Ovis aries: one gene and its partners. Each later gene encodes a partner of the first gene's protein in a complex. Links are inferred from orthologs where the notes say so. Each region holds a gene or a part of one and is shown in the gene's direction. Other genes may lie near its edges. The genes, in order: SAMHD1, DCAF1 and CCNA2.

What was found.
Region 2: the proteins of SAMHD1 (region 1) and DCAF1 are in contact, whole or in part, in a crystal structure (PDB 4CC9), measured with the Homo sapiens proteins. The link is inferred for Ovis aries from reciprocal best matches to the Homo sapiens genes SAMHD1 and DCAF1. Residues at the interface, in NP_056289.2 of Homo sapiens: Ser616, Arg617, Val618, Gln619, Lys622; in NP_001336097.1 of Homo sapiens: Asn1090, Glu1091, Asp1092, Thr1114, Gln1116, Asn1132.
Region 3: the proteins of SAMHD1 (region 1) and CCNA2 are in contact, whole or in part, in a cryo-EM structure (PDB 9HIW), measured with the Homo sapiens proteins. The link is inferred for Ovis aries from reciprocal best matches to the Homo sapiens genes SAMHD1 and CCNA2. Residues at the interface, in NP_056289.2 of Homo sapiens: Lys615, Ser616, Arg617, Val618, Gln619, Leu620, Phe621, Lys622; in NP_001228.2 of Homo sapiens: Met210, Ile213, Leu214, Trp217, Glu220, Val221, Glu224, Arg250, Leu253, Gln254, Tyr280, Ile281, Thr282, Asp283, Asp284, Thr285.

Annotation. Positions count from the first base shown.
Region 1 is NC_056066.1:65,971,037-65,981,630, reverse strand, and holds the start of SAMHD1 (deoxynucleoside triphosphate triphosphohydrolase SAMHD1), read left to right. Parts: upstream 1-5,177; 5' UTR 5,178-10,594.
Region 2 is NC_056072.1:49,383,553-49,394,046, forward strand, and holds part of DCAF1 (DDB1- and CUL4-associated factor 1), read left to right. Parts: intron 1-5,407; coding exon 5,408-5,545; intron 5,546-6,524; coding exon 6,525-7,037; intron 7,038-7,326; coding exon 7,327-7,428; intron 7,429-10,042; coding exon 10,043-10,201; intron 10,202-10,494. UniProt on the Homo sapiens protein: Acts both as a substrate recognition component of E3 ubiquitin-protein ligase complexes and as an atypical serine/threonine-protein kinase, playing key roles in various processes such as cell cycle, telomerase regulation and histone modification.
Region 3 is NC_056059.1:3,748,098-3,758,691, forward strand, and holds the start of CCNA2 (cyclin-A2), read left to right. Parts: upstream 1-4,593; 5' UTR 4,594-4,819; coding exon 4,820-5,026; intron 5,027-5,810; coding exon 5,811-6,054; intron 6,055-7,354; coding exon 7,355-7,467; intron 7,468-7,651; coding exon 7,652-7,875; intron 7,876-8,494; coding exon 8,495-8,702; intron 8,703-9,120; coding exon 9,121-9,234; intron 9,235-9,697; coding exon 9,698-9,831; intron 9,832-10,156; coding exon 10,157-10,205; 3' UTR 10,206-10,594. Other genes in the region: BBS7 (Bardet-Biedl syndrome 7 protein), read left to right, coding at 147-256, 373-476, 611-734, 2,457-2,590. UniProt on the Homo sapiens protein: Cyclin which controls both the G1/S and the G2/M transition phases of the cell cycle. Functions through the formation of specific serine/threonine protein kinase holoenzyme complexes with the cyclin-dependent protein kinases CDK1 or CDK2.

The DNA of each region.
Region 1 (10,594 bases):
ATTATTCAAGTGCATTACACTTGTGCACTTTATTTCTATTATTATTATTACATCAGCTCCACCTCAGGTCATCAGGCATTAGATCCTGGAGGCTAGAGACTCCTGCACTAGACGGTCCATGCGGTCCAGAATCTTGGGAAAGCCGTTCACAACAGATTTCATCTGCTTCATTATCCTGAACTTTGTCTGATTAACTTTGCTTTCAGGTCTGTAGACTTGTTGTGACATCCAGGAAGGAGACGGTACCTTCTTTAAATGAGAAACATGAATCTATGCGTCAATGTCCTTAGGTTTAGCAGCACAAATTTAGTTAACAATACCTGTAAAGGTCCCCTCCAGCAAGGTTGGAAGACATCACTGTTAAGGTGTCATTTCCAGTAAGTAGATACAGTCACCAGTCTGTTTTTTCCTGAAGGTGTAGATCTGAGAGTAAGCAAAACCAAAGACAGTGCTTTGGACGACAGCAGCTTAAATGATTAGTCATCATAAATGTGCTATGGTAGGTAGAGTGCAAAGACTGAAAAAAAAAAAAACCAAAAAACAAAACTTAGTTTGCCAGGAAGCCAGGAAGTACCAAGCAGTTGTTCTGGTTTTCCTGTAGCCCCCACTGTTAATTTAATTTACATCCAGTGTTTACCCATCTTAATTTCTCTGATTCAGGAGCAGTCTGTTGCCATGTTACAAGATATCAGGATAGGAAAAGTCTGACAACAAGAGGTCAGTTCTTCTGAAGAAGCAGAATGGATTTCATCCACAAATGCCACAATATTTACATATTCTGTTGCTGCTGCCTTTGCATGAAAGTCAGCTAGGACTTTCCCCTTATACTCATTCCTTTTAGTGTGAGCCTCTATTTGATGACAGACAACATTTTATGTCAGGACATATCAGACTTCTAGGAATTTCACATAATTTCTTGAACACCTAAAACACATACCCATATAGACACAACATAAAGAAGGCTAACCATTGCTTATTTGACAATTCTTCCCCTACAATTTAAACATATCGAGTATATCTAATTAGTTTAATATCTCTTCCTTTACAATGAGAGAATAAATCTTTGAGATCTCTAGAATATCTCTTATCTCAAGTTAGTTCTAAGTCAAAAAATTCATTTGGAATTTGATTTGGGTAAGTCTGTCAAAAATATCCAAAAAGTTTTAAAATCATCAAATAGGATCATATATCACTGTGAAACAATGCTTAGCTATTCATTTAACTAAAATAACAAAGAATTCACAGGCAAATATGGAAGGTTAGGCTTCTCAGAGGGCTCAGAGGCAAAGAGTCCCCCTGCAGTGCAAAAGAACACCTGCAATGCAGGAGATCTGAGTTGGATCCCTACATCTGGAAAATCCCCTGGAGAAGGAAATGACAACCCACTCCAGTATTCTTGCCTGGAGAATCCCATGGATAGTGGAACCTGGCAGTTCATGGGGTCGCAAAGAGTCGGACATCACTGAGCGACTGAACCACCACCACAGTTCTGAGCAAATCTTAGTTATCAAGAGGACTTGCATTACTTAAGTTATCATATGATAAAGACATGATTATTTTGATAAGACACAAGATCTTTGTTTTTTTCCCTAGGCATATTACTTAAAGGTAAAGAAAAATCTTCCTTATTTCTTATTATCAAGAGCAGACAGATAGGAAAAAAAATCAAAAACAAAAAACTGTCCTTTTAACAGAGGGAGAAAGCCAAACATATTGCTTACTTAAAGTTAAAAAGAAAACCTTTCATAATCTCTTATTTGAAGAACAGACCATTAGGAAAAAAAAAATACTTTGTCCTTTAAACACAGAAAAACAAATTCCAATTTTGTACCAGTTTACTTTTGATATTAAAACTCATTTAATTAAATTCATTTCAATCATTTCTAGTCTTAACCAGGCATGAAAGTCCTTCCTAAAGATTCCTTCTTCATAAACTTTCTTTTACGGAAAATAGACATCCTACTTTCCTCATATATGGAGATGTTTTTACTTATTTGTCTTTTTATTTAGCTTTAATCACATATATTAGCATTTTTTAAAAATCCTTCAGTTCAATTGTTTATTTGTGTCTGACTCTGTGACCCCATGGACCTCAGCATGCTAGGCCTCCCTGTCCATCACCAACTCCCAGACCTTGCTCAAACTCATATCCTTTGAGTCGGTGATGCCATCCAACCATCTCATCCTCTATCATCTCCTTCTCCTCCTGCCTTCCTTCAATCTTTCCCAGTATTAGGGTCTTTTCCAATGAGTCAGTTCTTCACATCAGGTGGATAAATTATTGGAGCTTCAGCTTCAGCATCTGTTCTTCCAATGAATATTCAGGACTGATTTCCTTTAGGATGGACTGGTTGGATCTCCTTGCAGTCCAAGGGACTCTCAAGAGTCTTCTCCAACACCAACTTAAAAATCCTTAAGATTTTTAACTTCCCCACTTAAAAATCCTTAGAAAACTTTAATTTGAAAATGAATAAGAACTAAATAGCAATTATGAACTATGTTTTACATTGGCATTCTGTATATTGGCAACCTTATACATAATTTTTATCATTTCTAGAAAAGTGCTTTCTCATAGAAAATTTCTCAGACTGGCATCAAATACTTTAGTTTCTCTGTAAAAAGAAGTCTATGTTCAGTAATTAATTCAATATCTAATTTGGAAATTATTTGGAAATAACTTAGATATTCAATGAATTTAACTTAAAATTTAACTTATTAATTTAGTAAAACTCTAAGGGTGTAAGTTACCAGTGAGATTTGAGAAACCATTTTATTTATTTAAAATATTTATTTGGTTACCTGGGGTCTTAGTTGCGGCACATGGGATCTTTACTTTCTGGTATGCAGGATCTTTAGCTGTGGCATGTGGGATATGGTTCCCTAACCAGGGATTGAACCCAGGCCCCCTGCTTTGGGAGCACAGAGTCTTAGCCACTGGACCACCAGGGAAGCCCCCCTGGGAAACTATTTTAAGTTATTGTTCAGTGCGTAAGTTGTAGCCAACTCTTTGTGACCCCATGGATTTTAAGCAGCTATATCATTGCTAAAAAGTTTGCCTAAAAACTCAACTTATTTACATTTAATTCATTTGTTCTTAACAAACATGTTTAGATCTCCTATTAAAATACTTCACCAAACATTAGATAACATCAGTCATGACTGACAAATTTTGTAACAGAGATAACATGAGCTTATTTGACTTTTAGTAAACCTAAGTAGAATAAAACATTATACTTGAGATTTTCCTGGTGATCAGGGGTTACAAATCCACCTGCCAATGCAGGAGACATGGGTTCAATCCCTAGCCTGAGACGATTCCACATCTCAAGGGGCAACTAAGCCTATGTACCACATCTGCTGAGCCAGAGTGCTCCAGAGCCCATGAGCTACAGCTACTGAAGCTCACATGCCCTAGGGCCCGTGTTCACCACAACTAAAGAAAAACTGTGCACAGCAACAAAGACCTAGCACAGCCAGAAATAAATAATAAATATATAAACTTATTTTTTTAAAACTCCTTAAAAAGTGTTATACTTAATGTTGGCAATGCTAAAGGAATGTCTGTATTAAACCAACAAACTTAAACTAGCTTTTATTTCCTAAAGATTCACCCTAGATCATGTGAACTTGAAAAACATTTGGGTTAGGTTCTATTACATTTTTGCAAATAGACTTAATTTATATAGTGCTTGTTTGTGTTAAGCCAATGAAATAGAACTCTTTTACAGATTCATTTTAGCAGCACTATCCAAAGGTAGGACTTCCCTGGTAGCTCAGACAGTAAAGCGTCTGCCTATAATGCAGGAGACCCAGGTTTGATCCCTGGGTTGGGAAGATTCCCTGGAGAAGGAAATGGCAACCCACTCCAGTATTATTGCCTGGAAAATCCCATGGACAGAGGAGCCTGGTTGGCTACTGTCCATGGGGTCGCAAAGAGTTGGACACGACTAAGCGACTTCACTTCACTTCATTCACAATATATTTATATATAGACACATATAAACATGGTCTTCCCTAATAGCTCATATAGTAAAGCATCTGCCTACAATGCAGGAGACCCAGGTTCAATCCCTGGGTCGGGAAGATCCCCTGGTAAAGGAAATGGCAAGGCACTCCAGTATCTTTGCCTGGGCAGTCCATGGACAGAGGAGCCTGGTGGGCTACAGTCCACAGGGTCGGAAAGAGTCAGACACGACTGAGGGACTAACACACACACATGAACATACAGACAGATGCAAACAGAGACCTTATAGTTTTTGTTTTAAAACTTTTCTTAAACTGGATTTCTGGGCAAAGGTACTTCTATGGCAGCTTGTATTTTTATTTATTTATCTTTAACAATTTATTTATTCACTTTATTTTTGGTTCCTGGGCCTGCCTTCTTGCTGCTTTCAGGTTTTCTCTAGCTGCAGCGAGCAGAAGCTACTCTTCATTGTGGTGCATGGGCTTGTCATTGCAGTGCTTTCTTTTGTTGCAGGGTATGGGTTCTAAGGCATGCGGGCTTCACTAGGTGTAGCACGTGGGCTCAGTAGTTGTGGCACACAGGCTTACTTGCTCTGAGACACGTGGAATCTTCCCAGGTCAGTTATCAAATCCGTGTCCTGCATTGGCAGGCTGATTCTTATCCACTGCGCCACCAGGGAACTCCAGCAGCTGTATATTTAAAAGTCTTCTTCTCTCCCTTCCCCCTCCTTTTTTTGTTTTTTTTCAATTTTAGGAATTGGAGGGAGGTGGTCTAGATAAGAGTTCCCAGAGAGGTTACAAGCCTTTGAGATAAACATGAGAGATGTGGGGAATGATGAAAAGGAACGGGTGAAATATGAACTGCCTCTAGAACTACATTTCCACTTTCACAAAGATTCATAAGGTATAACTTACTGTAAATAACACCATAGGCTGATCCACCCATCCAACTACTTTATCCTCAGTTTGTTTCTTTGTATTAGGGAGATTTCTAACTGAGATGTAAAAAAAAAAAAAAATTATGTTTTGCCCAGGCAACATTGTTGGTTAGCTTTGTCATGTCACTATTAACTGGACATGCTAAATGGCATGCTAAAGAGCATGTCCAATTAATAGTGCTTGAAGGGTAGATTTACATGCCTTAGTCCAGAGGATATATGTAATGGTGTGGTGCCATCCTCATTGGACCTGGCTTTAAAATGGGCTGCCAGGGCGGGATGAACATGGCGGCGCGTCGGGGGCCAGGGCTCTCAGGGCTCGCCATTGCAGCTGGGAATGCTCGTTTCGTGGGCTCCTGGGTCCCCGTCGATTGGCATCCAGCGAGCAGAGCGCAGGGCTGTGGGCCACAGAACTTGGGCTCTGGAGCATGCAAACTTCAAGAGCTGTTCAAGGGCTTCGTTGCCCCTGGGCGTGTGGAATCTCCTACACAGGAATTGAACCCGTGTTCCCTGCATCGTAGGTCATCCAGAGGACCCAAGACATGGTGGTTACTAATAGACTTCCCACACTACTTCTTCATTCCACGTGGACTCCTTCACGGGCAGTGAGCATTGCAGCTTCCCTTGAACTTCATCTGGATTTAATGACAACAGGCTCAACTTTTCATTCACTTGTATGACTATGAGCAGTTTGACCAAGTTGAAGAAGATGACTCGTTTGTAGTCTTCCTCATCAGCTCATTCCATCTACTGGCTTTAAAATCATTTAGTACAGAGCTCACCGTCTAGGTGTTCATCCAGTGTTTTGTTTGCTTATCATGCAGGATCATTTTAAAAGGGAAAGTATGTGTGTATGAGTTAGAGCTCTGATCCCAGGAGTCCATGTAGAAGCTTCCCCTGAGAAATGTATCGTTTTTGCACCAATGCTACTGAAATGTGTGAATGTGGTATACCACGCGTCCCAATAAGTGTAAACAGCGTCATAGGCTACTTATTTGAAATGACCAGTACTCATGACATTCCATTCAACTGAGGACTAAATATAGCCAACGTAGGCTGTGTTTGCCAAATAGACTTTGAAGTATTCTTCACACAGTCCTTCATCGATGCCAGTTTTCAGATCGAAGAAACCCTTGCTCCATGAAGTTTGTGAACACATATACTCATGTTTTGTTTGAGATTTTAAAGTCATTCTTCAGTTTTGTTGGAGGAATGGTTCTGTATATGCCCCGTGGATCCCCAAATCCACTGATGTTCATGTGTCTTGGGGCTTCCCAGGTGGTTCTAGTGGTAAAGAACATGCAGAACATACCCATGCAGGAGACATGGGAGGTATGGATTCCATCCCTGGGGCAGGAAGATCTCCTGAGGGAGAGCATGGCAACCCCCTCCAGTATCTTTGCCTAGAGAATCTCATGGAGAGAGGAGCCTGGTGGGGCCTAGTCCATATGATCCCAAGGAGTTGGACACAATGTAAGTGACTTCGCACAGCACATGATTCGTTGTCATAGCTAATATAATGGAGATGACATAAAAAGAAGCACCAGCGGGCGAAAGTCAATATCCATCACTTTTAAACTTTGGAATGTATTGTGATATTTTACATCCATATTTGTATGACTTGATAGTTGGAGAATCGATGCATGTGAAGGCCTGGTTTTGTTATATGTATGTTGAGGGAAGATATATTTTTATGTGGTTTGACATATAGGTCCCATTTCATTCGTAGACATATGCATACTCATCACTTATCATCATTTTTTTTTTTTGAAAAGACCATTGTTTGGAAAGGTTGTTGTCTAACCATGAAAGATGCTTGAATTCTTGGGCTCCTTAGAGGAAGAATTCAACCCGGGGCCAGTGATGAGGCTTGATCAGTCAGAGCTTTTGTGTCCCAACGTTTTATTAAAGTATAAAAGAGAGAAAGCTTCTGACATAGACATCAGAAGGGGGCAGAAAGAGTGCCCCCCTACTCATCTTTGGCTGGATGTTATCTAGCTACTAGCAGTCTACTCATTAGAGAAAGGAATGGCAGCAGACCCCTCACCCACAAGATATATGGAGATGACCGTGGCACCAGGTGAGTCATCCTGGGCCATAAAACGATTGATATGAGCAAATGGATAGCTTCATTCACATAGATCAGGAGAGCCATGTATGAGTAAAGCATATTGGTTTGTCAAGTCAGTTCTGAGCCTTTAGGCAGAACCTACTTGAAGATAGAGTCTAGGGTAAATACATAGTACATTCACATAGCTTAAGGCAAACCTTTCCATGAGAAAAATGCCTTGGTCAGCTCAAAGTATGAGAAAAGTGAAGTTCAGGCGGAACCAGGTGTCATCATAGCAACACAGAATTGTAAGAGAAAAATCTCTTTTTAAATTTGTATCAAGAAGGGGAAAAAAGATAACAGCTTGTTTCCTCCTGCCTCGGAAGTGACAGATAACAACTGTCTGACACTTGCACCCCATTTCCTCCCTTTGGAGACCTCTGGCCTTCCTGGCTGTTACCCTCTCAGTTTCATTCATTGAGCGTTTTCTGCCTTGTGAAACATTGGGCATAGAAGTATGTGTTTATTTAGGGGTATTTCATCCAATTTCATTTAAATGCATATGTGAATTAGAAAGTTTGACATGCTGTTGCTTTGTATACCGATTGGGAAATGTGAGCCTCCAAGCTTAATTTAGTTTTTCATGTTCATTTTTCTTTTCAGGGGTACAAAGAAAAATAATATGACTGTTAAGATCAGCTTTCGTATTTTTTGCCAAATATGAATTGGGATCACATCGATCAGAGATGAGTCTGTGCATGAAAGCCCTAATAACTAATGCTAATTGACTTCACTACCATGGGATGTTTTCATATCTATTGAGGATTTACTTCATGTATTTCGATTTTAACTTTCTGTCTTACAGCCTTGTTTGTAGATCAAAGCTATTTGAAATTGTCATCTGGTTTCAAATGGCTTGTGAGGTTATTCATGAGTGGTTTATAAAACCGAATGGATTGTACGTAGCCATACTTTGTTGTCATTCTATGAATTTGAAGAATGTCTGAAGAATGTCTGCAGTTATGCCTTAAAGATTCATACAATTGAAGTCCAATATTTATCTCAATAGACTTGCTTTCAATTTGTAGTTTCCTATGCGTATGTCTTTCTTTATGGATTTGGGTAGAACTTGTATTGGAACACTGAAAAATCTGTGATATCAACCGTGCTGACCTTTCTGGTGGTCATCATTAAGATTTTCACGCTCTATGGATCCTAGTGGAAACAGGTGCTGTTCATCCTACTTTTGTGAAGATTGAACTCATCGTAGAAAGTGGAATTTGTTGAAATATTTATGGTATAAATAAATCTTGTCTCTATAAAAAAAAAATAAATAAAAAAAAAATAAAATGGGCTGCCATTACCGGATGGGCAGTATGGATAGTCTTCTGCAGGGGATCAAGTTCAGTGTTACAAAAAAATAAGGAAGTTCAGAAAGAGATGGATAGCAATGAGGAGAGCTTTATGACAGATACTCAGAGGGACAGAAAAAAAAGATTTGGAAAAAGAGAGTTCTCAGAAGCCTCAGAGGATTTTTCTAGCTTGGAAATCTTTTGACATAATTGTGAGTTAGTTTCTCAGGGGGAAGCAATAGTAGCAGATACATTAATTATGATTGGAGGCCTCAAAATATGAATTGAAATACGCTTCACATTCTGTTTGTTTTGTACTATAGTTTTTCTCCAGTTGAGCACACAAATAAACTAATTTTGAAATTCTGAACAAGCCAAAAGTAGACCAACAGAGTTTCAAATCATTGCACGTGATTTTAGTCCAACGCAAAAGAAATTTACAAGAGGAAGGCCCATAAGTTTTAAACATTAATTGATCTGGAGTTCTGAACAATGGCAGTGCCTTTAGAAACCTAATTCCCCACAACCGAGTACTGACCAAGATGAACCATTCCCTTTCCAGAGAAAGCCAGCCGCAGAGGACCCCCAAATAAAGGCTCAGAACCTTGACTGTACTGGGAGGTTTGGAACTGAGAGGATTTACCCCTAAAGACACAAGACCACTGAGGAGACGACTGAGTACAAAGTTGAATATAAGTTGAAATACAAGTGGAGACTGGCTGTAAGCAGTAAGTTTAAAAGGATTCATGAACTATGTTTACTCAGGAGCAACCCACTGAAGTCTGGCCACTCCCTCAAATGTTTGAGCATCCTAACTCCCAAATACATGGTCACTCCACCCCATACACTGAGGCACTCCTAGGAAGTCACCATAAGTGAAACTCTATAGGAAGAGTTGGCCACTCCCTGTGACTGCCTAAAAGCAATAGAACTTATACCCAGCTCAAGTTACGGAACAGAACAGTGGTTTTCAAGGCTGTGCGTGTGTGCTAAGTTGCTTCAGTCATGTCTGACTCTGCGAACCTATGAACTGTAGCCTGCCAGGCTCCTCGGTCCACGGGATTCTCCAGGCAAGAGTACTGGAGTGGGTTGCCACGCCCTTCTCCAGGGGATCTTCCCAACCCAGGGATCAAATCTTTGTCTCACGTCTGCTGCACTGGCAGGCAGGTTTTTTACCACTAGCATCACCTGGCTGATCTAGGTTCAAATCCCAAAGCACTTAACACAAGGGTGTGGCCTTTGGCAAGTCATTTCACCTCCCTGGGCTTCATTTCCAAATTTCTTAAATAACACCAGGAATCTTTGTCCAGAAATAAGTCTCTTCTTCCTGATACTAGACCTTGCCCTCTAACCCAAGGGGTAACATATATCCTGATTAGGTCAATCATTTCATAACACAACTGGTCCAGGAATGAAAGCAATCCAGACTTGTTGAAGTCATTCCCTTACATTTAAACTGGAGGAGCAGAGGCTTTCTTTTATTTCTAGATATGAAGCCATAAAGATGGGACCTTAAAGCAACTTGCAGCTGGTAGCCCTCATGTTTCCACATGATTTGCACCCTCCTTGACTTAATCTCTTAGTACTTCCCCTTTGCTCACTTTGCCCATCCACACTGGTCTCTTTGCTATTTCTTAACACCCAGCATGCTCCTGCTTCAAAAGCCTTTGCACTTGGTGTTCTCTTTGTCTGGAATGCTTTTCCTCCAGATACCTGCATGGTTGAGGAAGAAATTTCATGTTCTCAAAAGTTTCCCCGCTACTCAAAACTGTGACTCTATCCTCCTCCTCTACTCCTCTTTAAAAACTTTGTTCCAAAGTACCATCTTCTAACTTTATTCTTGTTAATTAGACTATTATTCATTGCCAGTCTCCCCCAGCTAGAATATGTTTCACTGGGGCAGGGGTTTTTGTTTCTTTGGTTCATTGTTGTGTCCCAGGTGCCAAACAAATTAGTACGTACCCAGTATATATTAATATTGATGGAATGAATGAATGAATGTATTTATAACCAAAGAGGACCAGCTAGTATAATACCTATCTAATGACATTGTTATAAGGATTGGAAATTATGTATATAAAGTAAAGCACAAATAGACTATCTGATTCATAGTAGGTACTCAAATATGTTCAGTTCAGTTCAGTTCAGTCTCTCTGTTGTGTCTGACTCTTTGCGACCCCATGAATTGCAGCATGCCAGGCCTCCCTGTCCATCATCAGCTCCCGGAGTTCTCTCAAACTCATGTGCATCAAGTCGGTGATGCCATCCAGCCATCTCATCCTCTGTCATCC
Region 2 (10,494 bases), on another chromosome or scaffold:
TTGAATCTGTAGAGTTTTCTTATGTATAAGATCATGTCATTTGTGAACAGAACTAGTTTTATTTCTTTCTTTCCAAAATAAATGCCTTTAATTTCTTTTTCTTGGCAGTTGCAGGTTGGACACAACTTAGCAACTGAATAACAGCTATGTTGAATAGAAGTGGTGAAAGCAGGCATCCTTGTCTTGTTCTTGTCTTTGGAGAAAGTCTGTCAGTCTTTAATTTACTGTTGCATGCCATGTTAGCTCTGGTTTTGCTGTTGTTGTTTTTCATAGCTGTCCCTAATCATGCTGAGGAAATTTCCTTCTGTTTCTAGTTCGTGAAGTGTGGTTTTTGTTTGGGTTTTTTTGGCTTTGCGGGATCTGTGTTCCTTTGCCTGTGCTTTCTCTGGTTGAGGTGAGCAGGGGACTCCTTGCCTCTGCTTCGTTGCAGTGTGTAGGCTTCTCATTGCAGTTACTTCTGTTATTGTGGGGGGCGGGCTTTAGGCACGTGGGCTCAGCTGCAGCTCACAAGCTCTAGCGCCCGATAGTTGTGGCACATGGGCTCTGCGGCATGTGGCATCTTCCTGGACCAGGGATTGAACCAGTGTCTCCTGCATTGCAAGGTGGGTTCTTAAAGCACTGGACCACCAGGGAAGCCCTATGAAGTGTTCTTTAATGAGAGGGCTTTTACTTCTGTCAAATGATTTTTTCTTAGCAGTTGACACTCTCATGTGATTTTCTACTAATTCACAAAAATTAATTCACACTAATTCAATTGATGTGGTCTGTTACATAGATTGATTTTTGCATTTTGAACCGTATTTGCACATTTGGGTAGATTCACTTGGTTGTGGTATATACAGTAATCTCTTACGATGCTGTTTAATTCAGTTTGCAAGTATTTTTTGAGAACTTTTGCACCAGTAGTCATAAAGGATATCTAGTTTTCTTGCACTGTCTTTGTATCAGGGTATTTGGTGTCAAGGGTAATGCTCCTGCTGCTGCTAAGTCGCTTTAGTTGTGTCCAACTCCGTGTGACCCCATAGATGGCAGCCCACTGGGCTCCCCAATCCCTGGGATTCTCTAGGCAAGAACACTGGAGTGGGTTGCCATTCCCTTCTCCAATGCATGAAAGGGAAAAGTGAAAGTGAAGTCGCTAGTTGTGTCCGACTCTTAGCGACCCCATGGACTGCAGCCCACCAGGCTCCTCCGTCCATGGGATTTTCCAGGCAAGAGTACTGGAGTGGGGTGCCATTGCCTTCTCCAAGGGTAATGCTGGTTTCATAGAATTAGTTGGGAAGTTTTCCCTTTCCATCCATTTTTTGGAAGAGTTTCAAAAGGCTTGGTGTTAATTCCTTAAATGTTTGGTAGAATTTACCAGGTAAACCATCTGGTCCTGGGTTTTCCTATTTGGGGTGGGTTTAATGACAGATTAACCCTCCTTAATGGTTACAGGTTTGTTCAGTTTTTCTGTTTCTTCATTAGTCAGTTTTTGTAGGTTGTGTTACTAGAAGTTTGTCCATTTAACCTGTTACTGAGTTTTTTGTTTATAGTGTTCTCCTGAAATCCTCCCTCCCCTATATTTTCGACTGTGTATCACATGGCTTGCAGAACCTCAGTTCCCTGAGCTGGGACCTAACCTGTACCCTCAAACATGAAAGCACAGTCCTAACCACTGGTCTGCCAGTGAGTTCCCTTATAGTCCTTTCTGTTTCTGTAAAATTGGTAATACTGTCTTCCCTTTTATTTTTGATTCTAGTAATTTGTCTTCTTTTTTCTTGAGGTCAGTCTACCTCAAGCTTTGTCAATTAAAAAAAAAATTATTTACTTATTTATTTTTGGCTGTGCTGGGTCTTTGTTGCTGCTCTTGGGCTTTCTCTAGCGGCGGCCAGTTGGGGCTACTCTTTACTGCAGTACCCAGGCTTCGCCTTGTGGTGGCTTCTCTTGCACAGCATGGGCTCTAGGGCTCACGTGCTTCCGTAGTCGTGGTGCACGGGCTTCATTACTTTTCTGCATGTGGGATCTCACACCAGGGATTGAACCTGTGTCCCTTGTTTTGCAAGGTGAATTCTTAATACTGTACCACCAGGGAAGCCCCGTGTCAATTTCTTTTTGATCCTTTCAAAAAACAACTTTTGGTTTCATTAATTTTCTGTATTTCTCTATTTGATATTTTATCTATCTCCACTTTAAACTTTATTATTATTTTTATATATCTGTTATGTTTGGGTTTTCTTTGCTCTTTCTTGTTTCTTGAAGTGTGAAAGTAAAAGTGAAGTCGCTCAATTGTGTCCAACTCTTTGCGACCCCATGGACTGTAGCCTATCAGGCTCCTCCCATCCATGGGATTTTCCAGGCAAGAGCACTGGAGTGGGTTGCCATTTCCTGCTCCAGGGGATCTTCCCGACCCAGGAATCGAACCCGGGTCTCCCGCATTGCAGGCAGACGCTTTACCGTCTGAGCCATCATTCTTGAAGTATATAAGTAGGTTATTAATTTGTGACCTTTTTTTTTCTTTTTATGTACTTGTAGCTATAAATTTTGCTCTTTGCACTGCTTTGGCAGCATCCCATCAGTTTTGATGTGTTGTGTTTTTGTTTCCATTCTTCTCAAGGTACTAATTTCACTGTGATTTCTAATTTGACCCATTGGTTGATTATGACTGTTAATTTCTGCAGATGGATTTTCCAGTTTTCTCTTGGGTTATTGATTTTGCATTTCATTCCATTGTGATTGAAAAAAATTCTTTCAAGAATTTGTAAGGGCTGTAAGAGGTCAGCCCTTTTACAATTATTAAGATGTGTTTTGTGGCCTAACATATGGTCTATTCTGGGAGATGTTCCACCTGTACTTGAGAAAAATGTGTATTCTGCTCTTGTTGGATAGAGTATTCTCTATATATTTTTAGATTGAATTGATTTTCAGTGTTGTTCAGCTCCTCTGTTTCCTTGTTGGTTTTCTGTTCAGTTCTATCTATTATTGAAAACTGGGATAAAGAGTTTCTGTTTGGGACAGTGAAATTCTAGAAATATAGTGATAATGGTTATACAGCATTGTGAATGTACTTAATCCCACTGAATTGCACACTTAAAATGGTTAAAATAGTTAAAAATTATTGAATGTAAAAAAGAAAATCAGAATTCTAAGACTGGAAAATGAACCAAGGAACTACTGGGAATAAAAATTACAGTTTTTGAATTTTTAAATTTAATAGACGTAGACCAAAGTCTCCACATAACTACTGATAGAATTAAAGTTGAGATATGGAGACTAGAATTAGAAAATTTTGAACGTGTCTAACAGGAGTTTCAGAAAAAGAATGGAAGGAACGTCCCTGGTGGTCCAGTGGGTAACAGTCCCCGCCCCGGCTGCAGGGAGTATGGGTTTATCTCTGGTTGGGAAACTATGATCCCACATGCTGTGCGGTGAGGGTGCAAAGGTCACATACACATATACACAAGAGAATAGAAAGGCCGCATTCAGAGACGAGGCTAGGATCTTACAAACAAATGAAAGACGTGACCACTCAGATTCTCTTTCTCTCTCTCTCTCACGCACGCACGCACGCACGGAATAGGAATAGAAAGCCCGTATTCAGAGAGATGAGGCTAGGATCTTAATAAATGAAAGACATGACCACTCAGATTCAGAAAGCCCAAAGAAGAATACCAAAGACAAAAGATTTTAAAAGCAACTAGAGTAAAAAAGATTCCTGCAAATTAATAGCAAGTTTTGCCACAGCATCAGTAGAGGCCACAGTAGAAAATGCCTTCAGAGAACTTTGTAAACCAAGAAATATTGGCTACAATTTTTGGGGAACAGAAGAGGGAACATATTCTGGGTAACATGTAGATGGTAGGGAATAGGTTAGAATTAGTATTTAAAGTTTTTTATGCTGTTCAGAAAGAAGAATGAAAGACACTTAAAGTAGATGATATGTTTGTTTTCACATCAGTAAGTATTTTAAAACAAAATTTCTCAAAGTGTATTGTTCAGTGTTAATAACTTTTTTGAAGAAAGTTTAAAGTTTGGAAATATATAGGAGAATGACAGCATGACCTTAGGGAAGAATTTAAGAGATAAAGTGCACAAAGTTTAAAAGGAAATATTATTATATATGATTACATAAAATTAAGAGTTTGTGCTTATCATGAAACACTGGTAAAAGACGTGAGTATTTCACAGAAGATGGAAGTATGAATGATCACAAGGCATGAAAAAATGCTAAACCTCATTGGTAAATGAGAAAATTCAAGTTAAATGAATCATTAAATTTTCATACCCACTGTATTACAAAAAAATAAAAAGTCTGATGGTGGTCAACTTTTAGTAAAGATGTATTTAAAAATGGACTATTCAATGTTGGAAATGTGAATTGTTGTGATTACTTTGAAAAATAGTTTGGCTGCCTCTAGTAAAGTTGAACATACACACCTGTGACTTAGTAGTTCTGTTCCTAGGTGTCTACTCTAGGGACGTATTTGCACACAAAGGTAAAAGTTAAGCGAACAAAATAGCAGCAGAACATGGTGGTGCAGAGCATTTGGAGGTACGCTGCCTGGAATAAGACCCCAGCTCTGCTACTTACTAGTTTTGTGACTTTTGGTAAGTTACTTAACCTCATTGTGACAGTGTTCTCTTCCGTAGATATAGTACTTTGTCCATCATACAAAGCTGATACAAGGATAAAGTAAATTGTATGTAAAGCCTGTCTTATGTTGGGTACTGTTTGTGACAATTACACATAACAGTATAGATGAATGTAAAAACTTGAAGTTGAGTAAAACAAGTTGCAGAAAAGTACGTATGACACACACAATGTATACAGTTCAAAGCCTATAACATTTAACAAAAGCTCTGCAAGAAAATTATTAAAATTTAGGAAGGTAGATACCCTTTGGAGAGGAAGGAGGTAGGTGGTAGGGAGGGGCACATGGGAAGTTTCTGTTTCTTAAACTCATGGGTAAATCACAGAGGTGATTTTCATTTTCTTTGGACTATACATGTTTATGTATTTTATTTCATAATAAACACTAAGAGTGGGATATGTGGAGTTAAACACTTGTTTGATGGAGGACTCCTTAGACATTGCTACTGTTAATTGTGCATCGTGAACTTTAAAGAGGCGTGTAGAACTTTTAGCACCCCCTGCTTGGTTATGGAACCTTTTGGGACTTAATAGCTGCATTATGTGATAGTTGATCTTTAGCTTGCGTTTTCGTGGATAAATAGGACTGTTTCACAGATGCACAGTTATTTTAAACCACCTACTGTAGTACATTTAGTTTGCTTAGATATTGTAATCTTATGAACAATATTGAAATATTTTATTAAAAACTTTTTTTTATCAACTGAAGTCATTGCTTATATCTTGAATTATGAAATCTTGACCCACCTGATTTGTACTCTTTCATTCCCTTTACTAAAGGAAGGAATTGTTGAGAACCTTTTCAAATGGGCCCGAGAAGCTGATCAGCCGCTGAGGACATACTCTACTGGTCTGTTAGGAGGTGCTATGGAGAATCAAGACATCGCTGCCAACTACAGGGATGAGAACTCACAGCTGGTAAGGGCTGTGTCAGAGTGACTTTTTCATGTAAGATAGTATATTCACTCATTCTTTCTTGCTACCTGAAGTTGAGTCAGTAGATCTTATTCTTATTCATTGTACTAAAGTATAGCTATAATATCAATATTTCAATTCTTACCTTATGTAAGAGTTTTGACTGTACCTTTTTTTTTAACTTGAAGATAGCAGTTTTTCATTTTGTCAAAGATCATGATAGTTTGTACCAGATAAACAGTACCATTTCCTCTTCCTTTCCCACATTTGGATTATGAAAAATTTCAAACATATAGCAAAATACAATTTTACAGCAAACACCTGTATATAGACCACTTACATTGATTGTGAACATTTACTGTATTTTTATTTATGACATACTCATCCATCCATTCACCCCTCTTCTCGTCTAGTCATCATTGTTTGTTTTTTTTAAATGCAGTTTGAAGTAAGTTGCAGGCCTGATCACTTTTTTTTTTTTTTTTAAACTAAGCATAATACTAAAGTTTTGGATCAGACCAAAAAATGAATACCTAAAGGAAAACATAAGTGGTGAACTTGAAAAATAGCTTATATAATTATGTGTAATGTGGATGACAGTATTTAACAGAATACAGATAAAAGTTTATAAAACCTTCATGTTTGCTTTTCAAAGACACTTGTAAAAAATTGTGAATATACCTAGTGTCTGCCCCTTCAAATGTGATGGTCCGGTCCAGCATGATCTGGACAGATGTGCTGTGAATTAGGTTTTATCTGCAAATCTTCTGGTTTAGATTCTTGGAAATTTTATGGGGAATGAGACTTTTAGCCATTATTTATTTCATCAAGCTGTAGGAAATCAAGTCAACATACTTGTCAGATCTGTACTCTTACCAGTCATTGAGATAACTGCCTGAGTATCCTTAAATGGAAGTAAGAATTACTTGACTCTTAAGATACAGAAGAGATAAATCTGTTTTATTCCAATATCTGTTGATAGGTGGCAATAGTGCTTCGAAGATTGAGGGAGCTACAGCTTCAGGAGGTAAATTCAAGGCAAGAAAGCAAGCGTCCTAGCCCACGAAAGCTCTCCTCTGAACCCCTTTTGCCTCTGGATGAAGAAGCTGTGGATATGGACTATGGCGACATGGCTGTGGATGTAGTGGATGGTGAACAAGAGGAAGCTTCTGGAGACATGGAGATCTCCTTTCATCTTGAGTCAGGCCACAAGACCAGTAGCAGAGTGAACTCAGCAACCAAACTTGAAGAAGGGGCATTGAGGAAAAACAAGTCAACAAAACAGGCTGACAGAGAGAGCTTCAGGAAAGCCAAGCAAAAGTTGGGTTTTTCATCATCCGATCCAGACCGCATGTTTGTTGAATTGTCCAACAGCAGCTGGTCAGAAATGTCCCCCTGGGTGATTGGCACCAATTATACCCTTTATCCTATGACTCCTGCTATTGAGCAGCGACTTATTCTCCAGTATTTGACCCCTTTAGGAGAATATCAGGAGGTAAGCTTACTGGGAAAAGTAGTGTTCACTCTTTAAGACTACTGTGTTTATTTCTGGGGTATTTTGTGATGGCATATTATACATTGATGTGTTTTCATTCTAATACAGAAAAGTCTGCGTCAAACTGGTAAAGTCTTATGGAAGTCACTCCTGATAAGGTCTTTTTGAACAAAATGTGCTTATATGCTTATCTTTATAAAGGAGGGAGGAAGGGTTTCTTTAGTCTTCTGTCAGGAAATATGTGAAAATAAATCCAAATGTTAAGACATGTTTTTGGTGTTCATTTCAGTTACTCCCCATATTCATGCAGCTTGGGTCACGGGAGTTGATGATGTTCTACATTGACTTAAAACAAACTAATGATGTCCTGCTTACATTTGAGGCACTCAAGGTAAAGTTCTTTAAAATATTAGTTCCTGAGCATTTAATTAATGTGGATTGTCTATGTGTTTTGGTATATAACATCTCTGGATTTTATTGTTTAGAATGTTTCTATTACCAGATGTGTGAGTAGCAACAAATGAAAATTTCTTGTGTAAATAGAAGAGTTGAGGCTTACCAAGTTACTAACTGTATACATATTGTATGATGTTAGGTTATCTAGAGTATAAATCAGAAAATGAATAAAGAAATAAAGATATACCCAAATTCAGTGAAAGTAAAGAAATTTCTAGGTTGCAAAAGGGCTAAATATAGGCAGGCAGGTATGTCTAGCCCACTAAATCCATACCTCTTCATGATAATTAAGGTAATCTGAAGGGAGAGAGGTTAAGTTGAATGAATAACATTGTGGCTATTACAGTTCTACCTAACAGGTAACTAATGGACACAGTATTGTTCTGTGATGTTTATAGTATTAGACAGATAAGTTATGTCTCTGCTGTTTATCATGTGGTTGAGAGAGCCAGGCATGTAAGCCTGTGATTTTTTTTGAATATTATAGATGTTGTGACAGAAGTATTGGGGCACAAAGGAAGGAATGGTCTGTTCTCTTTGAGAAATAGTAGCTTCTAATCAAAACCTCTGAAAAAGAGATGATGTTCTTATTCTTTAAAGATATAATTTCATTCCTGATAGATATTCCAGAGCTACACTGTCCAATAAAACTTTCCATGATGACGGAAATGTTCTTTGTGCTTTTCAGTACAGCTGCTACTTGCCACAAATTAGCATGTAAAGTGTAGCTAGTGCCACTGAGCCCCTGAGTTTTTAACTTAATTTTAACGAAATTAGCCACATGTAGCCAATGACTACTGTGTTGGCCAGCACAGTTCCAAAGTGTATTGGAATTAAATACAAATGATGAAATTTGACTTGCAGACCCCAGAAATTTTAAGTTTGGAGGAGGTCAGACATAAATTGAAGTAACATGTATCCCTGTGTGTGGAATGCAGTGTGTGTGTGTATGTGTGTATAAAGCGTGCAAACTCATGATTTTACTTTGAACAGTGGGATGAAGCTGAAGGGTCAGAGTTGTCTCCAGTGGCCCAAGGTGTTGCTTTCAGATGCAGCGTCCTGTCTTGAAAAGGAAATAGTGGAAGAAGGGCTTTGGGTAGTTGCTATTTCTATAGGTCTTTGTATGAGAACCTATAATGGGTGTCATTATTCACCTGTTTCTATGCAGAATCATGTAAGGGGTTAGAGAAAATGGAATAAGGATGAACAGGGTAAAACCAGATAAGAGATCTTTCTTATGGGGAAATAAAAAGTGTAGAAAGTTATACGTACGGTTTTGTTCAAAAGGAAGACTCAGCTATGCAGGAGAAGGGGTAAGTGTTGAAGTTAGTAGAAACAAAATGGGTTAAAATAGTAAATTAAGAACTAGACCTTATACGGAGGTACAGTATAAGGAGTGAAAATAGAGTCTTTGCCCACAAGAGTGAGGTGAGCCACGTATGGGCTAACTAGAATTAAGGTTCTTGGTAAAGATTGAGCCCGTTTGTTCTCTGTTTTCCCTGCTGCTGATTCTGGCAGTGGAACTGCCTCTTTATGGTGCTGGTTTTGAGAAAAAAGCACGTGCAGTGGCCTGAGTATTGGGGAGGGAACCACACATGGTTTAGCTGTTTCTTAGGGAAAGGCTTGGTGGTAGAGGTTTGTGTATCAGACAAGAAAAGTAAACAGGGAAGGGATTTGAATTATATATAAGGATTAGTCCGAGTCTGTGTATTGAGAGAATGTCTGAAGAGGGTACACACCTGTTGACCTTGGTGAAATTTGTACAAGTATCAGTTACAAATCTGTATCATTTTGTCTGTACCTGCTGCCTGTCTCATGACCCAGAAGACACTTTGGTATGAGAAACAGGAGGGGGAGCTCTAGTTCTCATGAGGCTGCATCCATGTTGGCCTGGATTCAAAGTCATTGAGCAGCCTGCTGCTTGCATTGCACTGCCTGCCTTTAAATTGCCCAGAAGTTCAGGTCCACCCAGAGAGGCTAGTAAGAATCGGATAGCAAGGTAACAAAACTTAAAAGACAACAAAAACTTGCCTAATATAGACTTAATGAAATGTATTATTATAAATTCTATTTAAAGTGCATTCTGATTAGTACCAGAAATGTACTAGTTTTTTGAAGATTGGTTTTGAGGATATAAGCAAGCATCAGTTTAAAAGAAAGCAGAGTTTTGGGTGAATCAGTGACTGGGCCAAAGCTAAAACATAGAGCTGATTATGTTTAAAAGGATTAAAATGGAAAGGGTGACAAAAATCCATTAGGGAAGATATGTAATAGTAAAACAATTATAGGAGTGTGTCATAATGTACAGTAGTATTCTTCATTTCTTGCTTTTCACCGTCATGAAAACCTTTGGTATTAGAAGGGAATGTTACGGAATTCTACAGTTTTTGTTTGCTTATTTTGTTTCCCTGAAGCAGTATTGGTTTTACTTATGTTTTGAGGGGGTGGTTGTCTGCTTCTAAGGAGTCGTTGTATTTAGCAACTTAATATTCTGTGAAGAGATATTTGTACTAGATTGTTCCATGGTAATATGTATCCTCTTTGTGTAGCACCTAGCGTCTCTCCTGCTCCACAATAAGTTTGCCACGGAATTTGTTGCGCACGGTGGAGTACAGAAATTGCTGGAAATTCCTCGTCCTTCTATGGCTGCAACTGGCGTATCCATGTGCTTGTATTACCTGTCCTACAACCAGGATGCCATGGAAAGAGTAAGTCCAGTCCGTTCAGCTGTATGGGAATGGTGTAGGGTGAGGACTACTCTCATACATTTACAGAAAAGCTTTTGGGTAAGAAAACTAAACCGTTGGATCAGGCTTTAATGAAAGGAGCAAGTAACATCAATGTCTGATCTTTACTGAGCATTCTGTTTTCAGGCTCTTCTCAGGTGTCCCTCAGTAGAGTTACATTTTGCATTTTCGAGTCAGTCAGTTATAAAAACAACAGATGATGCTTTCTGTATGTTAACAGGATAGTTTGTGGTAGAGAGTAAAATCATTCCAGT
Region 3 (10,594 bases), on another chromosome or scaffold:
TTAATAGTGGGATGTGTATATAAAGAAATTTGAAATTAAATGAAGTCTAAACACAAGGTTCTAGTCACAAAATATGTGTTTACGGGACATATTTATTTGATGTACTTCCTTCTAAAACTGTTTCTTTAAAAATATTAATTTTATAGAAAAGGCGAAGGAGTCTTTAAATCTGACAACATTTCTACTATATCCATCCTAAAAGATGTGCTCTCTAAAGAAGCTACAAAAAGGAAAATTAACCTCAACATATCTTATGGTAAAAGAAAAGCATAAAAAGAATCATTCTTTCTGTTTTGAGGGGGTTGTTGTTACAATAAGAATGTTCCTGATCAAAGTGACTTATCTAATTGTGCCTGCCTCAACTTCTTCTAGAGATAAATGAAGTATCAGTCAAACACACATTAAAGTTAATCCACCCAAAGCTGGAGTACCAGTTGCTTTTGGCTAAGAAAGTACAGTTAATTGATGCTTTAAAAGTAAGTATGTCTACCATGGATTCATGATTATTATTTTTATTGTGATCAGATTTCCAAAGTGGTAAAGAGAAAGTCCACTTGATACTGGATTGGATTTTGAAATTAAGGTGCTTTTATTTTTTATTTTAAATAAGGAATTGCAGGTTCATGAGGGAAACACAAACTTTCTGATACCAGAATATCGCTCTATTCTAGAAGAGGCAGATCACCTACAGGAAGAATACAAAAAGCAACCTGCACATCTTGAAAGACTCTATGGTTAGTGGACTATTCTACCATACCTTGTCATATTCTTTTCTATTGGCTGTTTGCAAAGGATCACATGAGGGAAGGTAGGCGGAAGGAGATAGGCAAAGGTTACAGCAGTCATGACTGAAATAGTAACAGCCAGTGTATTGCACAGTGTATTTTGTCGAGTTGGTTTTAATGTTTAATATTTTTACTTGATAATATGCAAGTAAACAGTAACAAATGAAGTAAATATAATGCGATTAATTTATATATGAAGAAACCTTATGAAACATTATAATTTAGGCTGTATTACATACAAATAATTTTCAGTTTTCATTGCTATTTTGAAGTATCAAAATACAGCATTTAATGTCTTTATGCAAAATTGAAGAAGGGTTATATATGTGTTGTGTCAATTTATAGTCTAAAATTCATTTTGCTTTGGTGGCAAGAAGTTGAGTGTTTCACAATATATTGTAAAAGCAAGAGCAAGAGGGAGATGTGAGGAGGCAGAGAGAGAGGAAGAAAGAACAGCTTAAGGAAATTTTTTTTTCAATCTTTACAGAAGACCTGTATGCATAGTATACCTATTTATTTATGCATCTTTATAATCAGGTGGGATATTTAATCCTTACAACAGTGCTACACAATAGATGGTGCTGTCTCTGTTTTTCATATTTTTTAAAACTGAAATCTGAACTTAAGAATTTGCCACATAAGTAGCTAGTGGCAAAGCCTTCATTAGGACCTCCTTGCCCCAAGATGGATGCTTTTTGCACTGTGCCAAGTCTTATATGGAGTCAGTTGGTATCATCTGTCCATAGTGATCCTTAAGATCTTCCTAATAATTTATTTTATGCCCAAAGACTTGCTCACGAGCTATAACAATAATATCTGATATCTTAATATTTACCATGTGGCAAGCATATCGTTATCTTCATAATAACCTAAAAGATGGGTGGTACAGAATTGCCATCTCTTATCACCAGTTTTGCAGTCCAGAAAGCTTTGAAATCAAAAGCTTTTTTTTTTTTTGATAAATCATTTGGCAATAAATTTAACTTGATCTGAATTAATAACAGTACCTCACATAAACTGCTATGAGGTTTTTTTTAAATTCCACTTAGTGTGAATATTCATACATTTTGTTGTAGAAATGTTTTGTTGTCAGATGCTGCCACTTACTTTCCATGAGTATTATGCCATACATATGGTATATTCCTTTTATTATCTTACTAAAATATGAAAAACTATGAAACATGACTTAGAGGCTTTAGATAAAGGATATGACAGCTTGAATTATTTCTACTGTACATATGTTAGGATCTTTGAATCTAGAAGTATCTGCCTTCAAGTCAAATCCTAAGAATGTTACTTCAAATAAAGCTGTAAGGAACAAAATCTGTCTACACTATGTCAAAATGGTCAAGCTGATGGGGAAAGAAAAGAAAACCACTTGTAATTTTATATATACCGATAGGAATTCAAAACTGGCCAGCAGTTGATTGTCTGAACTAATAGCTTGTAACCAGTTGTTAAGAGAGTTATTAGCCAAATGATTTTTATTTTGAAATTTGCCATAAAATCCCCCCCAAATACATATTTTTTAATGTACCAATCCTTTCAGGTGTATATGTTAAACAATAGAAATTACAGATGCTAAGAAATTCTCAAGCAATCACTTTCATTAAATAATGTGTGGTTAATCAAATTAATCAATGACAGAAAATTATCCTTTTTTCTTTGTAGGCATGATCACCGATCTTTTCATAGATAAGTTCAAGTTTAAAGGCACCAATGTAAAAACCAAAGTGCCTCTTTTACTGGAAATTCTGGACAGTTATGACCAAAATGCACTGATTGCTTTCTTTGATGCTGCATGAAATATAAACAAGGTAAAGTTCCAAAGAAGTTGTCTGTTTAAATGAAAATTGTTAAAATAGAATTACAAGCTAACTGTACATACTTCTATTTCAAGTGCTTTTTAATACTGTCTAAAATAAATGAAGTATGACTTGTTTTTTGTGGCACTTTTATTTTATTTTTTTACAAATGTAATTTTTTTAAAGTAAAGATAATTTTTATTTTTTTTTAAATGAAATGATTATAACAGATTTTAATGAATTTTTTTCTCAAGAGGCTGTTTTAACTTTCAAATCAAAAAATATTATTTGGAAAATAGACACATTTAAATTTTTAACAAGCCAACACATATGTATAAACTGCTTTACAGTTTTCAAAATGTATGTACATATGTGACCTCAAGTGATCTTCACAGTATGTTGATTATTTTGTCAAATCATGTAAGACAACTGATTCTCAGTGAGATTGTGTTTAAGAGGACATGCTGTTATTTCATAAATGTGGGACCCAAGTTCTGGTGCCTCAATTATGTTTTGGTTACTATGTGTGTTGTCAACTAGGTGAAATAACCGATAATGTTTTTTTTTCTAGGAATTGAGATTGACTTACAACTGATTTTGCTGTTGCTTGGTAATGTTTTGTGACTCATACTCAGTTTGTTAAATACTTGGGTTGGCTCATTGCTTTAAACTGTGGCCAGGGAAATCAGACCTTGCACAGATTGGGGGGATTTTAACTTGATGTGCTGTAACCAGTAGGGCCATACAAATGTACTACATATGAATAGTACAGAAATAGTGATGGCTTCTTAGATTTTCCTGCACTAATAAATACTAATTTTCCTTTTTTATCATATATGGAGGGAAATATAACTGTCAATCTTAATTCATATTTATTCATATTCAGGTGAATATTATACTTAAGATTGTGCTTTTTAAAGTGGCATAAGGATTATAATAGAAAATAAACTATTCTCTGTGTTTTCAAGAAGGGCACACTTATTAATTTGTTGGGAAACAACAATGCTCAATTATATACCATTATATTTATTAGTTATGTGCAAGCCTTGTTATATATTAAATGTGAAAATTTGCTAAAGGCACGTATTTCTATCAGTTTTATTTTAATAAGGTCATATTTTTTTTTTTTACTATATTTAAACAACCTTCATTTCTAAATGGAACACAATTATATCTAGGTCACTGGAATTTCACTCCGTGCTTTTTGTTGGCTGCCATACAGCCAAGGTTAATGGCTGACTAGTTGAATTTCTTGTATATTAGTTTGTTACGTATATCAACAGTAATTCAAGGTGGCAGTTTAATTGCATCTTCATGAAGAAAAATAAAAAGTATAAGACTGTGAATAAGCACGAAAATGGTAAGATGACACTATAGTCATCCACTTGAGTATCAATTACATAAGCAGCGTATGAAATGATTTATGCACGTTATTTAATACTAATGATAACTTATAACGTGTAGATATAATCACCCCAGTTAACAGATAGGAAAACTGAGAATCAGAACATTGAGTAACTTGAACAAGACCACCAGGCCAGTATGGCCGGATCCGATTTTAGACCTTGAGAAACTTCAGTCAAGCTAACTGGAGGTCCTGTGGCTAAAGGCCGGGTGGTGATGGTGTGGTCTTTAAGTGATGTTTGACTCTGTGACCCCATGGACTAACCCGTCAGACTCTATGTACGGCCCACTAATAATCGCTAAAGTGTAACTCACTTTGTACTAGCGGCCGCCCCTAGCCTAAGACAGGAACTGCTTAGCGGCGGTATTTAAAGCCACCATAAGCCTAGGCCCCGCCTCCCCGCCCGGCGCAGGCGTCCTTCCTTCTGCCGCCGTTCTCTGTTTCTTCGTCCCGCTCCGCCCCTGCTCGGGTGCCTTCGCAGCCGCCTTCATTCGCCTGCGACCGCGTCGCCCCGAGTGACGTCACAGGGACCGGCACCTTTCATTGGTCCATTTCAATAGTCGCGGGATACTTGAACTGCGGGAACAGCCGCAGCTCCGGCGGGCTGCTCGCTTCATTTCGGGGGCGTCCTTGTCCCTCCACGCCCGGCAGTTCTTGCCTCCGCCTTTCTCAGTCTCCTCGGTCCTGCACGGTTCCGAGCAGACGGGCAGGCTGGCTCGGGCTGCGGCGGGCGGGTACGGCTGGAGTGTTCCTCGGCTGGTGTGCGGGACTCAGTGCACGCTGCTTGGCGCCGGGCTGATCCCGCCGCGCCCCCGGGAGCAGAGATGTTGGGCAGCTCCGCGCACGGGCCTGCGGCCCGCGAGGCGGGTTCGGCGCTAACATTGCAGCAGTCGGCGTTCCAGGAGGACCAGGAGAACGTCAACCCCGAGAAGTCGGCGCCCGCCCAGCAGCCCCGGACCCGGGCTGGGCTGGCGGTACTGAGGGCCGGGAACTCGCGGGGTCCAGCGCCCCAGAGGCCTAAGACGCGACGGGTAAAGCAATGAACGATATCCTCAGGAGGGAGGGCCGAGCGGGGGTTTTGCACGGGTTTAGCCGGCAGAGGAGAGTGGCGAGAAAGCATTCCCTGGGCTTTTCGCGGGAGGCTAGGATCTGGAGTTCCTTGATCCCTGGGTTTCTAGAGTGTAGGACGCCACATTACTCCCATTAGTTACTCTTCCATACTGTTCCTGACAGCGCTGTGCTTTCATGCTGCCTCTCAGCTTTCCATTGGGAGTATTTTTCCATAGATAATGGGATCAAACCAGGCCCCACAACGTTGAGTATGGTCTTTGCCCGCCTCCACGCCTTTCTGCTCTAAAACCCAGGCACTATTCCGACCTTCGTCTTCCCCATATGGATGGGTAAAGAAACTACCTTTACTTTGGGCGAAGGTATGAAAAGTGCTTTGCTATTGGTCAATTCCGCCATCTTACTGAATTTGCTCTGTTGCTCCACCCTAGGGTGAAAAAGGAAAACCACTTGTTTTTTGCCATCTCTGTTAAATTTGGCATCTTTCGGCCTGCCACTCCAGCCATCTCTGGCCTAGTTTTGCATAATTCCATTTGGTGTGACCGAAATCTTTGGTGTCACAGGAATGCCTATGACAAATTGAAGCATCTCTTCTTTCTCCAGCTACTCAAATTTCCTTGCCTGAACTTTGCCCCCAAAAGTTTTAATTTTCCTGATAAGAGGGTTTGGGACTATACTCAGCAGTATAAGGGGATGAAAGTAAAATTCCACTTAATAGGCTCAAAGCATTTAATTATTTCATTGTAGGTTGCACCTCTTAAGGATCTTCCTGTAAATGATGAGCATGTCACTGTTCCTCCCTGGAAAGCAAACAGTAAACAGCCTGCATTTACCATTCATGTGGATGAAGCAGAAAAAGAGATTCAAAAGAGGCCAACTGAATCTAAAAAATCAGAAAGTGAAGATGTCTTGGGTTTTCATTCAGCTGTTACTTTACCAGGACCAAGAAAGCCACTGGCACCTCTTGATTACCCAATGGATGGTAGTTTTGGTAAGTTTTAAAGAAAACTTGAATAAAAGTAATTGTTAAATAGGTCGGATTAATATTTTCCTTCTAAGACATTTTACTTGAGCCTTACTACATTATGAGTTAGGCATAACAAGTTTAGAAAGGGTGTGACTTATCTCAGGCCTCACAGCTAATCTGTGACCTGGTGACCTCCAAAAAGATTCTAATCCCGTGCTCCTTCTGGTACACTGCTGCTGCTGCTAAGTCGCTTCAGTCATGTCCGACTGTGCGACCCCATAGGCGGCAGCCCACCATGCTCCTCTGTCCCTGGGATTCTCCAGGCAAGAACACTGGAGTTGGGTTGGTACACTGCTAATCACATCAATTTCATTAGATCCCAAAGACTTAATTGACCCTCAAAATATTTGCTTAGTTGGGAGAATATATTTCAGTTAAGACTAACTTTGTTCACACCATTTCAGAGAACGCCATCTGAGGATGTAGCTTTAAATATTGAGATAGCCGACATCCCGTCCAGCTCTAAAATTTGTTTCTGTAAAACCCGTCTGAGTGATTGTCTGATATCAGAAAGACAGTTGTCTTCCTGTGAGTCAGAGTAACTGCTATGGACAGCTCTGTCTACAGTTTGTGCTACTTTACCATCAGACTGTGGGTTCACTGGACAGCTCACTGAATTCAATATCAGTTTTAGTTGTATAAACGAGGGGTATAGCAGAGAAGTGCTTTGGAAATAACAGTAATTTGTGTATTATTTAAAATTCACAGCAAATTTTAACCTCAAAGTAAACTTTGAGCTGAAATAATAATGGATGACATTCATTGCCTCCAAAGATGAATTTTACCAATCACCCATTGATTGTACCGTTAATATGTTTCAACTGCCCATGACAAATCTGATTTCCTCTTTAGCACACTTGTTAGTCCTGCTTCTAATTGTTGCCTGGATTATGCTTTGCAAATGTTAGACTTTGGGGTCTGCAAACTCTTATGACAAATCCTAGATATTATCTCAGAGTTTGGATTTTAACCTTGTTCTAACAGAACCACTGTCTTCCTATCATGCAAGATGAATGATGGTTTAACTTAATAACCTGCTCCTCAAATTCATTTTCCCATTAATGGTCTAACGATATTTTAATTAAGATCATTCCAAAACTAAGTAGACAGAGGTACTAAGATGAGAGTTAAATCTCTTATGTATTTTGTCATAAAAAGCTCTTTTAGTTGGATGAAATAAGCTCATTGGTAGTATGGGACTCCTTACAAGGACCATCATTTTTAGCTCTTAAGTGAACTTAACTGTATTTTTGAATTGTCCCAGAGTCTCCACATACTATGGAAATGTCAGTTGTACTGGAAGATGAAAAGCCAGTGAGTGTTAATGAAGTACCAGACTACCATGAGGACATTCACACATACCTTAGGGAAATGGAGGTAACTGCTGCCTGAATCTACTCTTTATACTGCTGTTTATTTACTGTGGGGAAATGAAATTAAGATGATGTTTTTACATTTTTTAACTGCCAGTTGATTACTCTAATACTATATTTAAGTTTCTAGCATGTAGCTGGTATCTGTTAATGATAGAATATCTAACTGTAATTTTAACACTCAACAGGTTAAATGTAAGCCTAAAGTGGGTTACATGAAGAAACAGCCAGACATTACCAACAGTATGAGGGCTATCCTCGTGGACTGGTTAGTTGAAGTAGGAGAAGAATATAAACTGCAGAACGAGACCCTGCATTTGGCTGTGAACTACATTGATAGGTTTCTTTCATCCATGTCTGTGTTGAGAGGAAAACTTCAACTTGTGGGCACTGCTGCTATGCTTTTAGCCTCGTAAGTCCAACTTGGTTCATTGGGTTAAAAGTGATTAGTATTTTTCTGTGTAGGGAAGAAATTGTGATTTAAAATACATATATTTGGCAAGTGTGATGTTTTAACATATAACACAAAGCAGGACTCACAACTACGTGAGGGGTGGTAGTGTAGATGAAACTATCAATTTAGGACATTAATTTGCCTAGATCAGTCTTTCAGGGCACTTGAACCTACAGACTGGCAAGATTTTAATACACTAGGACCAAGTTACAAAGTATGGTTCCTTCCACAGAAAAGTACCTTCTGTTAAATAAGCAAAATCTTACCTTTTCCCCATTAAGATATGAAAACTAAAATATAAAGCATTTCTTTTTCTAAGGAAATTTCCCACATTTTCAGTTACTTGCTGACCTTGCTCCCATCTTGGGAAGTCAGTCTCTCATTTCCTTGGACTTCAGTGGAAGACATATATGGGGGCTTTTAATTAGCATTTAACCAATTTCAGCTAAAAATGGTCAAGTATCAGTGGAAACAGGGAACTGGTTTCAGATTCATTCCATTGATTCTGCTTAAGGGATTTCAAGTTGGGATAAACAAGCTTGCTTTTCTAAGGACTAATTACTTCTTTGCATTGTAGAAAGTTTGAAGAAATATACCCACCAGAAGTAGCAGAGTTTGTATACATTACAGATGATACATATACCAAGAAACAAGTTCTGAGGATGGAGCACCTAGTCTTGAAAGTCTTAGCTTTTGACTTAGCTGCACCAACAATAAATCAGTTTCTTACCCAGTACTTTCTGCATCAGCAGCCTGCAAACTGCAAAGTTGAAAGTTTAGCAATGGTAAGTTCCTTTCATTCTGTTGAATGAAGATTCTAAGGTCACAACTGGGGCAAGCTCTAGTTTCATTATACAGTCTTGGTCAGGAATATACTATTCTGGGACAGATGAGTGCTGCAGCACATGAGAGCAAGCCCATCACTCGCAAAGGATAATGTAAATTGGGAAAGCATTGGGGATATGAGAATGGAACGTAAGTGGTAGCCAGAAGGGTTGTTCTAAAGGCTAGGGGAAAAATACAGGATGAGAATGAAGCAAAACAATGCAGTAGTGGATATATTTAAAGATGTGACTGAAAATTTTTATATGGTTGCTATACAGCCAGTCTTAAAAGACAAGAAAAAATTAGGTCAGAAAAGGCGGATTTGAGGTTTGAATTCCAGAGCTCTTATGATCATAGTTATTTACTTTTTCATTCCAGTTTTTGGGAGAGTTAAGTTTGATAGATGCTGACCCATATCTAAAGTATTTGCCATCAGTTATCGCTGCAGCGGCCTTTCATTTAGCACTCTACACAGTCACAGGACAAAGCTGGGTATGTATTACATCTTCACACGTCTACTTTTTGATTCTAAATGCCTGTGCCAGATAACTGTCGTAGACAATTGATGGTTGTCTAAATGTACTGAACTGGAAGAGTTGTCCAACCATCTACTCTGTTTAAAGCGTCCTGTCTTAGAAAGCTTAGTTACTTTTGCACATTTGAAAGATGTGCTTAAAGAATCTGGGCAACAAGGCCTGCCACTGGCAGGGAAAATTGTAAAAACTGAAGTCAGCAAAAAGGCGCTTAAGAAAAGTGGAAAATGTTCAGTTCAGTCACTCAGTCGTGTCCGACTCCTTGTGACCGTGTGGCCTGCAGCATGCCAGGCTTCCCTGTCCACCATTGGAGGTGTTAAGTACTAAAGTTTAACAAAACTCAAGCTTAATGCCAACTACTAAGTTGTGTTTAGTGTCTGTTACAAAAACAAAGTCCAGTGGTTTTCTCCTCCCTCCTGCAGCCTGAATCATTAGTACAGAAGACTGGATATACTCTGGAAACTCTAAAGCCTTGTCTCCTGGACCTTCACCAGACCTACCTCAGAGCACCACAGCACGCACAACAGTCAATAAGAGAGAAGTACAAAAATTCAAAGTAAGAAGTAACAGCAGTAGATACTACACAAGTTTGCTTTTCCAGGCTATCCTACGGCTCAGAGTTCCTTAATATTTTAACTTCTATTATTTAAGCAACCACTCTCTTAGCAGCCATGTGTTTTGAGCTTTCTGTCCTATATTTGAGGGAGAAGAGGGGAGAGGAACAGGGCATGCATGCATGCATGTTTGGGGGACCAGACTGGTTTTGTAAATATTAAATCAAGTAGGCAGAAATTTGTGAGTTCCTGGTATGTGTATAATTCCATGATCTGCTTCACCCAATGAATGTTTACTAAAAATGGATTTTTTTTTCTTACTTACAGGTATCATGGTGTTTCTCTCCTCAACCCACCAGAGACACTAAATGTGTAACAGTGAAAAGACTGCCCTTGTTTTCTAAGATGTAAATCACTCAAAGTATATGGTGTATAGATTTTATCTTAGGTTTTAATTTTACAATCATTTCTGAATACAGAAGTTTATGGTCCAGTACAAATTATGGTATCTATTACTTTTTAAATGGTTTTAATTTGTATATCTTTTGTAAATGTAACTATCTTAGATATTTGGCTAATTTTAAGTGGTTTCTGTTAAAGTATTAATGATGTCAGCTGTCAGGATAATAATTAATAAATTGATTTGGAAAATTTGGTTTGTAAGTCAAATTTAATTTGAAGTAAAAATTTGACTTCAGGATTTCACTCAGAAAAATTCATCAGGACTGGGAAGGCTTCTCCTTCCGACACACAGGTGCTGACATT